Pelodiscus sinensis: one gene and its partner. The protein of the gene in region 1 purifies or fractionates together with the protein of each later gene. This does not show direct contact. Links are inferred from orthologs where the notes say so. Each region holds a gene or a part of one and is shown on either strand. Other genes may lie near its edges.

Region 1 (8,003 bases):
GCTCTTCTTATTCTGTGAGGTTGGCCTCCCAAAAGTACACTACGGGAAAATTATAAACAGTAGGTTTTCCTTCCACTGTGCAAAAGCAGTGCACACAGAATATTGCAAATTATTGAACGTTCAGTAGTTAGTTCTGCTTCCCCAACCACATATTTAAAATACTCCTCACCATCTACCTTTCTAAAAATGTTTGCAAGTGACAGACTGCTCTTCTCTAGGAATATAACATGCAAGCAGTTGCGCCACTTTACCTGTCCATGTATGTCTCCACAAACTGTAACTGGCGTAGATACTGGCTGTACATTTGACTCTTCAAGCAGCAGGTCACACACATAATCACATAAGCGCTACAGAAAAAGAAGTTTACACTGATCAGGCTGAGGTTTTTGTGCATTGTAATATCAAGAAATAACAGATTTATAAATTATTTGCTTTAGAATGTATTCAAGTCTCTAGACACCATGATCATGATCAAATGAATTGGGATCAATGTTCCCTCTAATTTTTTCTATCTATGTGTGGATTTTTTTCATTAATGTGCAGAATAAAATTTGTATGGGCTCCCAGGCATGTGCAAATTTAACATCCCTTAGTGCACAGCACATGTAATTGACATGTGTAACCACTGAAATGTTCAGTGGTTACACACAGGGCAGCAGCCAGCGCGCCAGGAGGCAGCATAGGGTGGTAGGTGGCTCTCTGGGAGTTGACTTAAGCCGCTCCCTGCGCATACCTGTTCCCCCCACCACCCTATGCTGCTGTCTCTGATAGAGGCAGCAGTGCAGGGCAGCAAGCAGCTCCCCAGAATCCAGACTGGGAGCTATGTGCAGTCATTTGGATTACCTGTTAAAACACATACACTCTTACAATCTTAATGTGCACCACTGATAGAAACAAAACCTAGGCATGAGCGCTCTGCTAGTCAGCTGGGCAACATATTAATCACCCCTGAGCAGATGCACATGCACATCATACAGGGAACACTGCTTGGGATGATAATAAATATGTAAGAAAATCCGTTACTAGCTAAACATTTTTTTAAAATTAAGTGTGTCTCAATGAATAGAGCAACAGTTCACAGAATGAGTGCATCTTAGGTTATTTAAATGCTATATTAAATTGCAGTTTTGCTCTAAAATTTGAAAGTCAGATTGCCACTTTATTTCATGTTTATTTTATCAATGGTTTCTGTATTAGATATGCTCAGCTAACAAGGAAAAAAGTTAATTTCCATCTGCAAAACTGCAAAACCTAAAACTCATCCTGAGATCAGAGACTCAAACTGGATTCTTTCCTGCTCACTCACCGATCAATAACTAAAGTCTCACTTACGCCTGTGCAACCCCATGAACAGTGCCATGTTCTTCACAGGTGGTTCACAGGTATAGCTCACTAAAACTTAGAAAACAATTCCACTGATGATGTACAAAAAAGAAAAGAATCCCCCTCACACATTCAGGCATGCTGACTCCACTAACTCGTAGAGGGAAAGAGTACCGCATACTTATTTTTGCAGGACTCTCAATATACAATGATTAATGGATCAGTTCACTTTTAATGGTCTCCCGCAGTGTTTATCTACTACTTATGTTAAACAAGCTGTTCCCACCTACTTGTTAACTGTGACACTGTGGGCTTGTAGGCATTACCACTGGTGTTGGTATAATTTGTGTCGCTGGGGGTATGAACAACATGTGATATAAGTTACACTGTAAGATGTACTTAGGTTTAAGTACCCATTCTCCAGATACTTAATGATGCTCTGTGTCACACACCCTTCCCTTTTTCTTTTTTTCTCCCCCCCTCCTATTTATTTCAAGTTTTCATATCCCCTACTCATAACTCCAGTCATCTGAAGAAGTGGGCTGTGCCCACGAAAGCTCATGATCCCATCAACATGTTGTGTTAGCCTATAAAGTGCTACCAGACCATTTGTTGTTTTTTTCTGTAACAGACTAACTCAGCTACCCCCTGAAGCTCTTGTAAGCACCAGTGTGGTTTTATTATGCCACCTCTCCCATTAACATCACAGTATCCTCACCAGAGGTACTACAGTTGCATAGCTGCAATAGTGCAGCTATCCCATTGTAGAGATTTTAGTAGCCCTCTGAGTATTTTTCCCAGATCTGAAGAAAAAAAAAAGCATCTGCAGAACAAAAACTACTGTCTTTTACCATAATAACAGCCCTACTGGGTCAAACCAAAGGTTCATTTAGCCCACTATCACATCTTCTGACTACAGCCAGTGGCCAGGTGAATTCAGTGGGAACAGACAGTAACATAATCATCTGAAAAAGTGGGTTGTGCCCACAAAAGCTCATGATACCATCTACAGGTTTTGTTAGTCTATAAAGTGCTGCAAGACTATTTGTTAAGTTTACTCATAATCATTGAACAATCCATCTCCTGTTGTTCATTCCCAGCTTCTGGCAAACAGAGGCTAAGGGCACCATTCCTGACTACCCTGGCTAACAGCCATTGATGGACCTGTCCTCCTAAACTTTGAACCATTATCACCTTCGCCTGCACAACACCCTCTGGCAAGGAGTTCCACAGGTTGTGTATAAAAATACTCCCTTTTGTCTTAAACCTGCTGCCTATCAGTTCCTGTGGTGGCCGCTGGTTCTTGCCTGGGAGTAAGTGACGCTTCCCTGGGGGCTCCGCTGTCAGTCTGGCGGTGCAGACTCGGGGTCCCGCAGCGCGTTCCCAAGCTGAAGAGCCCCCGTCCGCTCGGGCTCCCCGCCGGCCCCGCTTCCTTGCACCCTGGGGAGCTGCCGGTCTCTCTCCAGGGCGGGGCCAGCGCGTTGCTGCCCGGGGCAGGCCGGCCGGGGAGGCGCCTCCCGCAGCCCGCGGGGCCCCGCCCGCGCTCACCTTGAGGTCGTTCTCGGGCAGGTACTTGCAGAGCCGCGCGATCTCAACGTACTTATCCAGGTCCAGAGGCGCCATCTTAGCCGAGCAGCCGGGGCCGGAAACGGGAGCCGGCGACTTCCGGGGGCGGCCGAGCCCCACTACCGCGGCGACGGGCCGGAAACGAGGGGCACTTCCGGGGCGGGAGGCCGGAAGTCGGTCAGCCTGAGCGACCCGGGGGCCAGAAGCGGAAGCGCCCCGCCCCCACAGCCTTCCAGCGGGCAGGTGCCTTCGCCTCCGCGCCCCGCGCGCTCTGCCTCAGCCCCTGGCGCGCGGCGCAAAGCATGCCGGGAGCCGCGGGGCATGCCGGGCAGCGCGCTGGCCGCGCGGGGGGCGGGGCGGCGCTGTGAAGCGGCTCCGGGTTCCCCGCCCCGCGGCGGTGAGCGGGGGGGCCGGGCCGGGGGGGCCCAACGGGCCGGGGCCGATCCAGGCGGCCGCTCCTCCGCCTGCGCAGCGCCCGCCGGGGGGGGGCGATTCCCCTGCCCGCACTGGGGGGGGATCGGGGGGGGGCGGATTCCCCTGCCCGCACTGGGGGGGGGATCGGGGGGGGCGGATTCCCCTGCCCGCACTGGGGGGGGATCGGGGGGGGCGGATTCCCCTGCCCGCACTGGGGGGAGGATCGGGGGGGGGCAGATTCCCCTGCCCGCACTGGGGGGGGGATGGGGGGGGGCAGATTCCCCTGCCCGCACTGGGGGGAGGATCGGGGGGGGGGCAGATTCCCCTGCCCGCACTGGGGGGGGGATGGGGGGGGGCAGATTCCCCTGCCCGCACTGGGGGGAGGATCGGGGGGGGGCAGATTCCCCTGCCCGCACTGGGGGGGGGATGGGGGGGGGCAGATTCCCCTGCCCGCACTGGGGGGGGGATGGGGGGGGGGCAGATTCCCCTGCCCGCACTGGGGGGAGGATCGGGGGGGGGGCAGATTCCCCTGCCCGCACTGGGGGGGGGATGGGGGGGGCAGATTCCCCTGCCCGCACTGGGGGGGGATCGGGGGGGGGCAGATTCCCCTGCCCGCACTGGGGGGGGGGATGGGGGGGGCAGATTCCCCTGCCCGCACTGGGGGGGGATCGGGTGGGGCAGATTCCCCTGCCCGCACTGGGGGGAGGATCGGGGGGGGGGCAGATTCCCCTGCCCGCACTGGGGGGGGGATGGGGGGGGCAGATTCCCCTGCCCGCACTGGGGGGGGGATGGGGGGGGCAGATTCCCCTGCCCGCACTGGGGGGGGGGATCGGGGGGGGACAGATTCCCCTGCCCGCACTGGGGGGGATGGGGGCGCAGATTCCCCTGCCCGCACTGGGGGGGGGATCGGGGGGGGCAGATTCCCCTGCCCGCACTGGGGGGGGATCGGGGGGGGCAGATTCCCCTGCCCGCACTGGGGGGGATCGGGGGGCAGATTCCCCTGCCCGCACTGGGGGGGGATCGGGGGGGGCAGATTCCCCTGCCCGCACTGGGGGGGGATCGGGGGGGGCAGATTCCCCTGCCCGCACTGGGGGGGGATGGGGGGGCAGATTCCCCTGCCCGCACTGGGGGGGGGATCGGGGGGGGCAGATTCCCCTGCCCGCACTGGGGGGGGGATCGGGGGGGGCAGATTCCCCTGCCCGCACTGGGAGGGGATCGGGGGGGGGCAGATTCCCCTGCCCGCACTGGGAGGGGATCGGGGGGGGCAGATTCCCCTGCCCGCACTGGGGGGGGATCGGGGGGGCAGATTCCCCTGCCCGCACTGGGGGGGGATCGGGGGGGGCAGATTCCCCTGCCCGCACTGGGGGGGGCAGATTCCCCTGCCCGCACTGGGGGGGGGGATCGGGGGGGGCAGATTCCCCTGCCCGCACTGGGGGGGGGGATCGGGGGGGGCAGATTCCCCTGCCCGCACTGGGGGGGGGGATCGGGGGGGGCAGATTCCCCTGCCCGCACTGGGGGGGGGGATGGGGGGGGACAGATTCCCCTGCCCGCACTGGGGGGGGATCGGGGGGGGACAGATTCCCCTGCCCGCACTGGGGGGGGATGGGGGGGCAGATTCCCCTGCCCGCACTGGGAGGGGATCGGGGGGGCAGATTCCCCTGCCCGCACTGGGGGGGGATCGGGGGGGGCAGATTCCCCTGCCCGCACTGGAGGGGGGATCGGGGGGGGCAGATTCCCCTGCCCGCACTGGGGGGGGGGATGGGGGGGGACAGATTCCCCTGCCCGCACTGGGGGGGGATCGGGGGGGGGCAGATTCCCCTGCCCGCACTGGGGGGGGATCGGGGGGGGCAGATTCCCCTGCCCGCACTGGGGGGAGATGGGGGGGCAGATTCCCCTGCCCGCACTGGGGGGAGATGGGGGGGCAGATTCCCCTGCCCGCACTGGGGGGAGATGGGGGGGGCAGATTCCCCTGCCCGCACTGGGGGGGGATCGGGGGGGGCAGATTCCCCTGCCCGCACTGGGGGGGGATCGGGGGGGACAGATTCCCCTGCCCGCACTGGGGGGGGATGGGGGGGCAGATTCCCCTGCCTGCACTGGGAGGGGATCGGGGGGGCAGATTCCCCTGCCCGCACTGGGGGGAGATGGGGGGGACAGATTCCCCTGCCCGCACTGGGGGGGGGATCGGGGGGGGACAGATTCCCCTGCCCGCACTGGGGGGGGGGATCGGGGGGGGACAGATTCCCCTGCCCGCACTGGGGGGGATGGGGGCGCAGATTCCCCTGCCCGCACTGGGGGGGGATCGGGGGGGCAGATTCCCCTGCCCGCACTGGGGGGGGATCGGGGGGGGCAGATTCCCCTGCCCGCACGGGGGGGGGATGGGGGGGGACAGATTCCCCTGCCCGCACTGGGGGGGGGGATGGGGGGGGACAGATTCCCCTGCCCGCACTGGGGGGGGATCGGGGGGGGCAGATTCCCCTGCCCGCACTGGGAGGGGATCGGGGGGGGCAGATTCCCCTGCCCGCACTGGGGGGAGATGGGGGGGGGAGATTCCCCTGCCCGCACTGGGGGGGGATCGGGGGGGGACAGATTCCCCTGCCCGCACTGGGGGGGGATGGGGGGGCAGATTCCCCTGCCTGCACTGGGAGGGGATCGGGGGGGGGCAGATTCCCCTGCCCGCACTGGGGGGAGATGGGGGGGCAGATTCCCCTGCCCGCACTGGGGGGAGATGGGGGGGGCAGATTCCCCTGCCCGCACTGGGGGGGGAATCGGGGGGGCAGATTCCCCTGCCCGCACTGGGGGGAGATGGGGGGGACAGATTCCCCTGCCCGCACTGGGGGGGGGGATCGGGGGGGGACAGATTCCCCTGCCCGCACTGGGGGGGGATGGGGGCGCAGATTCCCCTGCCCGCACTGGGGGGGGATGGGGGCGCAGATTCCCCTGCCCGCACTGGCGGGGGGATCGGGGGGGCAGATTCCCCTGCCCGCACTGGGGGGGGGATCGGGGGGGCAGATTCCCCTGCCCGCACTGGCGGGGGGATCGGGGGGGCAGATTCCCCTGCCCGCACTGGGGGGGGGATCGGGGGGGGCAGATTCCCCTGCCCGCACTGGGGGGGAATCGGGGGGGGCAGATTCCCCTGCCCGCACTGGGGGGGAATCGGGGGGGGCAGATTCCCCTGCCCGCCCTGGGGGGGGAATCGGGGGGGGCGATTCCCCTGCCCGCACTGGGGGGGGATCGGGGGGGCAGATTCCCCTGCCCGCACTGGCGGGGGGATCGGGGGGGCCGATTCCCCTGCCCGCACTGGGGGGGGGATCGGGGGGGGCAGATTCCCCTGCCCGCACTGGCGGGGGGATCGGGGGGGCAGATTCCCCTGCCCGCACTGGGGGGGGGATCGGGGGGGGACAGATTCCCCTGCCCGCACTGGGGGGGGATGGGGGGGCAGATTCCCCTGCCTGCACTGGGAGGGGATCGGGGGGGGGCAGATTCCCCTGCCCGCACTGGGGGGAGATGGGGGGGCAGATTCCCCTGCCCGCACTGGGGGGAGATGGGGGGGGCAGATTGCCCTGCCCGCACTGGGGGGGGAATCGGGGGGGCAGATTCCCCTGCCCGCACTGGGGGGAGATGGGGGGGACAGATTCCCCTGCCCGCACTGGGGGGGGGGGATCGGGGGGGGACAGATTCCCCTGCCCGCACTGGGGGGGGATGGGGGCGCAGATTCCCCTGCCCGCACTGGGGGGGGATGGGGGCGCAGATTCCCCTGCCCGCACTGGGGGGGGATCGGGGGGGCAGATTCCCCTGCCCGCACTGGCGGGGGGATCGGGGGGGCAGATTCCCCTGCCCGCACTGGGGGGGGGGATCGGGGGGGCAGATTCCCCTGCCCGCACTGGCGGGGGGATCGGGGGGGCAGATTCCCCTGCCCGCACTGGGGGGGGGATCGGGGGGGGCAGATTCCCCTGCCCGCACTGGGGGGGAATCGGGGGGGGCAGATTCCCCTGCCCGCCCTGGGGGGGGGAATCGGGGGGGGCGATTCCCCTGCCCGCACTGGGGGGGGATCGGGGGGGCAGATTCCCCTGCCCGCACTGGCGGGGGGATCGGGGGGGCCGATTCCCCTGCCCGCACTGGGGGGGGGATCGGGGGGGGCAGATTCCCCTGCCCGCACTGGCGGGGGGATCGGGGGGGCAGATTCCCCTGCCCGCACTGGGGGGGGGATCGGGGGGGGCGATTCCCCTGCCCGCACTGGGGGGGGAATCGGGGGGGGCGATTCCCCTGCCCGCACTGGGGGGGGGAAATTGGGGGGGCGATTCCCCTGCCCGCACGGGGGGGGGGGAAATCGGGGGGGCGATTCCCCTGCCCGCAAGGGGGGGGGATCGGGGGGGGGGAGATTTCCTGCAGGCCCCAGAGGGTTTTAATGTGACTCTGGCTTTGCTTCCTTTGCTCAAGACCCATGAGGCCGAAGGCCTTGCCAATTCTGGAGCCTGGAGATGTTCCCCAAAGGGGCACGTGGTCAGTACATCTGAGCATTTTCCCATTTCTCCTCAGCCTCTCCCATTACTGTCGTTTGTTATTGCGTTATGACCCCAGTTATCTCACTGGAGTCTGTGGGTCAGATTCCCCCATTAAACCCTGATAACCCATCCTCCTCCTAGCATTTTTGATGAGCCTATGGGTTCAGATCAGAGTGTGGGGACTGTATTCTAAACTCA
Region 2 (7,615 bases), on another chromosome or scaffold:
CACTCACTAGACATAAACTAAGTGATTTGCCCAGGGTTGCACAAAGAGCCTGTGGCAGAGCCAAGAATTGAAATCCCAGGCAGCTGGGCACTTGTGCAGCCGCTCGGGAGAGATTCAAATGCTGCCCAGCCAATTAGCAGAGTGCGCACAGTTAAGCTTTTTGTTTCTATTGGTGGTGCACATTTGCACATGCCTTGGTGCAAATAAAAAAATATTCTGCACATGGAAAAGATTAGAGGAAATATTGTAAGCTGTTCCAATTGGGGCCAATCTAAAACAGACAGGGCAAGATGGAAACTGTGGCGCAGAGAGGGGAAGTGACTTGCCCAAGGTCAAGCAGCAGGTCAGTGGCAGCGCCAGGAATAGAACCCAGCCTTGCTGAGACTCGGCCCAATTCCCTCTCCACTAGATCATGCTGCCCAGCTTCAGCGCCATGCCTACCAGCCCTGCTCATCCCCAATCAAAGAACCAAAGTGCCAAAGCAGGCCCATCCCGCCCCAGGCCCTACTGTGCATTCACCTCTCTGGGGGATCAGCCCCACCTCATTCTAGCTGCCCCAGACTCACCCTCTGCACCTGCTGTTGGAAAGACCTGTTCCCGTCTCTGCTTGGATGCCTTCCGCGCTCGCGGCCAGCCTGCCAGCTCCTGTTTCTCCCCTGCTGTACAAACTTCCTAGCTACCGCCCCGGTCCAACGGGATGAACTCAGACGCTTTCCTGTTTTCGAGTTCCCAGACGCTGTCAGCTGATAAGAACTTTCCGCCCCTTCGGCCCGTTAGCTGCTGACAGCTCTTGATTGAATTGTCCTAGGCCAGTTACCAATTGTCCATATGTAGGGATGGGCCAACAACGGGAGGGGAGTATGAGCTAGTGGTTAAAGGCGGGGTGGGACAGGGAGACCTGGCATCCATTCCCAGGAAGAGGCGTCTAGCAATTCAAGCTTGGGGGAGGGAAGACTGGAATCCAGTCCCAACTCTGGAAGGGGAGTGTGACTTAGGCCAAAATGGAGGGCTGGGAGTCAGGATTCCTGGTAAATTTAGCCCTCTTGTCAATATAGGGGAGTGTAACAGGGGATGGATCTGGAAACAGGACTCCTGGGGTCTACCCTCAGCTCTGGGATGTGTGGATTGTTTAGTGGTTAGAGCAGGGAACTAGGACTCCCCTTTGGCTGGAAACATCGAACCGGAGCCATGAGCTACGGAGCATTTAGGTAAACAAAGCAGCGCAGGCCCACTAGCGGCTTTCCCAAAGCCGGCCCACAGCCCACTGGGAGAAACACTGCTCTAGGAGCCCTGGGGGAAAGCCTATGTCACCACTCAGCATGCTGGCCTGAGCCAGCGAGGAGCTGAGGGCAGGGGGCGGTAGCCCATGGAAACCTAGCGGAAGTATACAAGACAACAGGATTCCAGCTTGGGTGGACAGGCCAGTCTCCCTTTCCCTAGACAACCCTTCCAGGAAGCCAGTGCCCATCTCAGAATCAGGCCAGTGACTGCAAAGCAAAGCAAGGCTTGCTTCCCCCGGCAGGGCTGGCATGACTACATGTGTGCTGTGTCCCCATCCGGAGGCTGCTGTGATGGAGGATAATGGTTTACTACTGCTGCCAGGGAGCAGAGCGACTCTCTTAGCTCAAGCGGTGGAATTCATTGTGGTGGGTGGCTCTGCTGGAGAGAGACCGAAAAGAAATTGTACTACCAAATGAGGAGCTCAGAGCACTGAATTAGCTCCCCTCAAATCCTCTTTGGGGGTGGGGGTGGGGAAAGACAGCTCTCTTCTATTAGACTCTACAGAAGTTATTGTGCCTTCTCTTACTATTTTAATTTTTGGAGCACCTAGGAACCCCAGTCATGCCTGAGACCCCATTGTAAACACAGACACCCCCTGTATGAAATGACAGCCCCTGCCCCAAAAAGACTGCAATCCAAGTACCTTCCTCTGCCCAATTGCATGTCAGCTCCTTCTAGGAGTGAATTAAGCAACCTAGCAGCTAGCTGCCATGGTTTTTTCTCTCTCTCACCTTCTCCCCCCAGGGGAGGATCAAATATTGTTTTGGCTAGGTTGGAGGACAGTGAGGTGGAGGGGGGCTACATATGGGGAGATTAAGGCAAAGGGAGAGGAAATGACTTGCTAAAGGTCATCTAGGAAAATCAGTGGCAGAGCAGGGAATCCAAGAGTCCTGGCTTCCAGTCATATACTTCTCTGTCACTGCCACAAACAGAACACAAGAGTCCTGGCGTCAAGTCACCTGCTCTAACAGGCAGGCCCCACACCTCTCCTAGAGCCAGGAATGCAGCTTCACTCCTGTCACAGAGTGTGGGGTAGTTACCGAGCCCTGCACCCCCATCCGCAGTCAGATGTGAGACTCAGCCAACAAGTAGAACAGAAGGTGTATTTGTTGACAGGGACACGGCATAGCAGACTTGTTACAGGAACCAGGAGCTTTCAGTACAATCCATCTTAGGGACGAGGGGGCCCAGAGCCCCCCAAGCCAGCTACACTCCCTCCTCCCTACAGCAGCAGAAAACTAAACTCACACACCCAGCAACTGGTCTCAGCCTTCTAGGCAGCCCCGCCCCCTCCTTTGTTCCGATTCCCCAGCAAAGGTGTTATCTCCTATCACCTGGCTCTCAGGTGTGAGACCAAATTCACTTCTTCAGTGAGTCATGCTCCCCCCCCCCCCCCATTCCAGGCAATGTTGAACTGCCCAGGGAAACTGAGGCACACACGCACACACACATCCCCCCACCATCACTCCAGAACAGCATAGGACAGTAGAATCACACATGACCCAACAAAGCAAACAGCATGAATACAGTGACTTTCAGCAACTGCAAGAGTGAATACAGTTCCCGCTACATCACAACTCCCCACCGAGGACCCTACCCCCAAGCCCACGTGGCCTCCTTCTAAAACTGATCAAAACAAGTAACTAAGAACAGCGCGGCCCTGCCCGGCCCTGCGTGCCTCCTGCCTGTACCTTTAGTAGAAGCGACAGTCATTCTAGTTCAGAACAGGACTCGGAAGGGAGCTCAGACAAGCACGTCCTACCCCGCATGGCACTGCGTGTGCGGCTGGGGAATGTAAACAGGCTTGAGAGCAAAGCTGCTGAGAGGGGGAGGAACAGGCGCACGCACAAAAATGCCCGGGGTGGGGGAGGGGTGGAGAAGAGGGATTTAGGAGGCTGGAGAGAGACATCAAGGGCTCAGACTACGGACCAGAGTTGGAACAGCCAACGGCTCCCAAGCCTGGCCCAAGTTCTCTTCGAAATCAGGATGGGACCAATTGTGAGTGGATAGAACACCCCCCTCCCCACATGTGCCACTATAGGTCGCTGTTGGAGATGAGACACTAGCTGGATCTGACTAGGCTGGGGATTCCCCTGTATTCCAGATCTCCTCTAGAATGGGACCAGATTCCCATGAACAGGGACCCAGTGGTCCAGGGAAGAAAGTCCCAGGAACTGGACAACCGCTGATAGGAAGTATGTGTGTGTGTGCATGGAATGGCCACCAGCTTGGCACCAGGGATCAAACTAGGGCCTGCAAGCGTTTAAAGTGGGAGCTAAACAGCCAAGCCACCCTAGCGCGGGGGGAGGGGGGGGGTTACAGACTCATACCCACTATGCGCCAGCGCTCACTTTGCAAGGGAGCCCTCATCACTTGCCTAAAATTAGAAGCCTTCCCCAATTTTCTGACTCCAGTCTGAAAACTAACCATAGTCTCAGAATGTTCAAATGAGCCATTTCAATTAGACATGCCCTAACTTTGCTCTGCCCAGTAGGCAACACTTCCCTTCTGGAGTCGAGTTAGAACCAGTATCCTGGCTCCCAGCCTCCTCCTCTCACTACTGCAGGTCATACCTCCCCTTCCACCCACCGAATCCTAGAACTGGAAGGGACCTCTAGAGATCACGTCCAGGCCCCTGCACTCATGGCAGGACCAACCAAGCACCATCTAGATCATCCCTGATACATGTCTGGCCAACCTGTTCTTAAATATCTCCAATGATGGAGATTCCACAACCTCCCTAGGCAATTTATGCTAACACTTAATCATGTGACAGTAACTTTTTCCTAATGTCCAACCTAAACCTCCCTTGCTGCAATTTAAGCCCATTGCTTCTTGTTCTATCCTCAGAGGTTAAGAAGAATAATTTTTCTCCCTCCCCTTTGAAACATCCTTTTAGGTACCTGAAAGTTGCTATCATGTCCCCTCTCAGTCTTCTCCTTTCCAAACTAAATAATCCCAGTTCTTTCAGTCGTCCCTCCTAGACCACGTTTTCTAGACCATTAATCCTTTTTTGTTGTTCTTCTCTGGACCTTCTCCAATTTCTCCACATCTTTCCTGAAATGTGGTGCCCAGAACTGGATACAATACTCCAACTGAGGCCTAATCAGCACAGAGTTGAGCAGAAGAACGACTTTCGTGTCTTTCTCATAACACTCCTGTTAATGCATCCCAGAATCATGTTAGCTTTTTCTTGCAACAGTGTCACACAGTTGACTCACATTTAGCTAGTGGCCCACTATGACCCCAAGTTCCCTTTCTGCAGAACTCCTTCCTAAGTGGAGCACTTTGCAATTGTCCTTATTGAACTTCATGCTATTTACCTCAGACCATTTCTCCAGATTATTTTGAATTATGACCCTATTCTCCAAAGCACCTGCAACCACACCCAACTTGGTAGCATTTGCAAGCTTTATAAGCATACTGTCTATACCAGTATCTAAACTACTGATGAAGATATTGAACAGAATTTATCCCAAAACTGACCCCTTTGGAACCCCACCTGCTATGCATTTCCAGCATGACTGTGAACCATTTTGATAAGAAGGTCATGTGAAACCGTATGAAACGCTTTACAGGCAGTCCCCAGGTTACGCAGAATATAGGGACTATAGGTTTGTTCTTAAGTTGAATTTGTATGTAAGTCGGAACTGGCGTCCAGATTCAGCCGCTGTTGAAACTGACCAGCGGCTGGCTACAGGAAGCCCGAGGCAGAGCTGCTCTGCCTTGGGCTTCCTGTAGTCAGCCGCTGGTCAGTTTCAGCAGCGGCTGACTTGGGGACCCCTGGGGCAGAGCAGCTGGAGTGCTGCCGGGTTGGTCCAGTAGCGCCGAGGAGCGGCGCTGCGGGACCAACCCGGCAGCACCCCAGCTGCTCTACCCCAGGCATCGGCGAGAAAAGCCTAGTCTGCTGGGGGGGGCGCACTAGCTGCGCCCCCCCCCCCCAGCAGACCAGGGAGACGCGGATCAAAGCTGCAGAGGACGCAGGCGGCAGGACCGCGGCGCGTCTCGGCGGTCCCGCCGCCCGCGTCTCCCTGGTCTGCTGGGGGGGCGCAGCTAGTGCACCCCCCTCCCAGCAGACCAGGCTTTTCTCGCCGCGGACCAGGTGAGAAAAGCCACTCCGCGTCTCCCTAATCTGCTGGGGGAGACGCGGAGCAAAGCCGGCAGACCAGGGAGACGCGGAGCAGCTTTTCTCGCCGCGGAGGACACGGGCAGTGGGACCGCGGTGCGTCTGGGCGGTCCCGCCGCCCGCGTCCTCCAGGGTGAGAAAAGCCCCGTTCGTATGTAGGGATCCGACATAAGTCGGATCCACGTAACTCGGGGACTCCCTGTACTAGAGTCTGGGTATACCACGTCCACTGCTTCCCCCTTTTCCACAAGACTTGATATCCTATCAAAGAAAGCTATCAGATTGGTTTGACGGGATTTGTTCTTTACAAATCCATGCTGTTACCTATCACCTTATTATCTTCCAGGTGTTTACAGATTAATTCCTTAATTGCCTGCTCCATTATCTTTCCTGGCACAGACATTAAGCTGAAACAAAAGACAGGACTATGCAGCACTTTTTTGTCTTTTGTTTCAGCAAGACCAGACTAACACCGCTACATCTCTATTACTATTAGACATTAAGCTGTGATCTGTTTCCTCATTCACCTTCAACAAAGCCTCCCAAACGGAACAGGAAGAAACCGTTCCAGCCTTGCACTGGCCATTTACAAGCTCTCCTGTCACTCTCGTGATGAGAGTTACAGCCTCGTAACATGTGGGAGATGCCTGCACTTCCTTCTTCTGTAGCCCTTGGATTTATAGAGAGAAAATGACAAGGAATTTAAAAAGAACCCAAGTGATAAATATTTTATTGGTAGGCTTGGCAGGATTCAACGTGTATGCCAACCAATAATATCAGTGTGTCATTTTTATCAATGCAAATCTTCAGAGTTGTGCCAAATTATGGGTTTTAAGCATCCCCCCATCTTGAGATATTTCAATTTTCACAGTTTCAGGGATTAATGGGGATAAGGGACAGACAATGACTGAATGACAGCAAATGCTGAGACAAACACAAGTTGTCAACACCACACACTAAAGATACACAGAGCAAGAATAAGGGATGTTAAATATTGGTTAATTGGATAGTTGAGTAACCTCATGAATTCTTATCTGTTACTCGACTATTCTATAGTCCCCGGGGGCGGGGCCAGCAGCCAGTGGGCTCCGGCTTCACTCCGTGCTGCTGCCTCTGTATCCGAGGCAGCAGTGCAGGGTGCCAAGTGGGAGCTGGCTCAAGAGGGGAGACAGCTTAAAAACCAGCTCCCCTCACAGACCGGCTGCCTGTCACCCCGTGCTGCAGCCATGGACAAAAAGGCAGCAGTGCGGAGTGGCAGCAGCCCCTGTCTAGGGCAGTTTGAGCTCCTGGACTCAGCACAAGCCTGAACTGAGCCAGGCTGCCTGCCTGCCCGGCTCCTAATACACTTTAAATGCAGAGCTGCAGCAGGGGTAGATCCCGGACCCATTGCAAGCCAGGACTGAGCCAGGCTGCTGGCCAGCCTGCTAAGAAAGTTTACTAGCCAGGCAGGGCCGGATTAAGCCCTTTAGAGGCCCTAAGCACTGAAAAGATTATGGTGCCTCCCCATATGTAATTCAAAATAAAAACAATACTATACCGTAACAATCTCTCTCTCTCTCTCTTTTTTTTTTTTTTGGTGCTCCTGCTTTGCTGGTGCCCTAAACACATGCTTAGTCTGCCTATTGGATAATCCAGCCCTGTCAGGGGCAGGGCAGCAGGGGGAGGGGGAGAGGAGAGGGAGGGAAGGGAAATGTGCATACTATAGCATTAACCTATCAGTTTTTGCTTATCAGTTAATTGACTACACTGTTAAGTATCTGAGGAAGTGGGTTTTTCCCACGGAAGCTCATGATCCAATAGATTTGTTAGTCTCTCAGGTGCCGCAGAACGGCTGGTTGCATGGTAAATATGATTAAGGTAAAATTCTCCCCAGAAGCATTTTTCTCACTTTGCCTAGCTGTCCATTTCAAATATTCTTGATGGAAATATTTTGTCCTCCTTGGGTTCGGTGAAATCAACAGCTATTGACATTTGCCAAGGCAAATCTAACCCTCCCAGCTACCTACTGGGCAGCTTTTGGAATGCCAAGAATTTGAACATGGGAAGTACTATTGTCTGGAAGCTGCAATGTTTCAGGTGGGGAGAGCTCTTTCAATCAATGCTAGTGGCGAAATTCTGACCCTGTTAAAGTCAATAGCAAAATTCCCCATAACACCCATTTTTGAAGTGGGGCCGCTTCACAAATTTCTGAAGTGGTTGTGGGCTACT

What was found. Proteins that work in one complex are often made in the same cells at the same time.
Region 2: the proteins of PPP6C (region 1) and ARHGEF2 purify together in Homo sapiens (affinity purification with mass spectrometry; 4 studies listed by BioGRID and IntAct, with this or other methods). This does not show direct contact. The link is inferred for Pelodiscus sinensis from reciprocal best matches to the Homo sapiens genes PPP6C and ARHGEF2.

What each region holds. Positions count from the first base shown.
Region 1 is NC_134732.1:25,004,983-25,012,985, forward strand, and holds the start of PPP6C (serine/threonine-protein phosphatase 6 catalytic subunit), read right to left. Parts: upstream 3,007-8,003; 5' UTR 2,947-3,006; coding exon 2,872-2,946; intron 2,834-2,871; exon of another isoform or gene 2,631-2,833; intron 348-2,630; coding exon 252-347; intron 1-251. Other genes in the region: RABEPK (rab9 effector protein with kelch motifs), read left to right, coding at 7,745-7,803.
Region 2 is NC_134734.1:14,732,486-14,740,100, reverse strand, and holds the start of ARHGEF2 (rho guanine nucleotide exchange factor 2), read right to left. Parts: upstream 3,010-7,615; 5' UTR 2,995-3,009; coding exon 2,973-2,994; intron 682-2,972; exon of another isoform or gene 567-681; intron 1-566. UniProt on the Homo sapiens protein: Activates Rho-GTPases by promoting the exchange of GDP for GTP.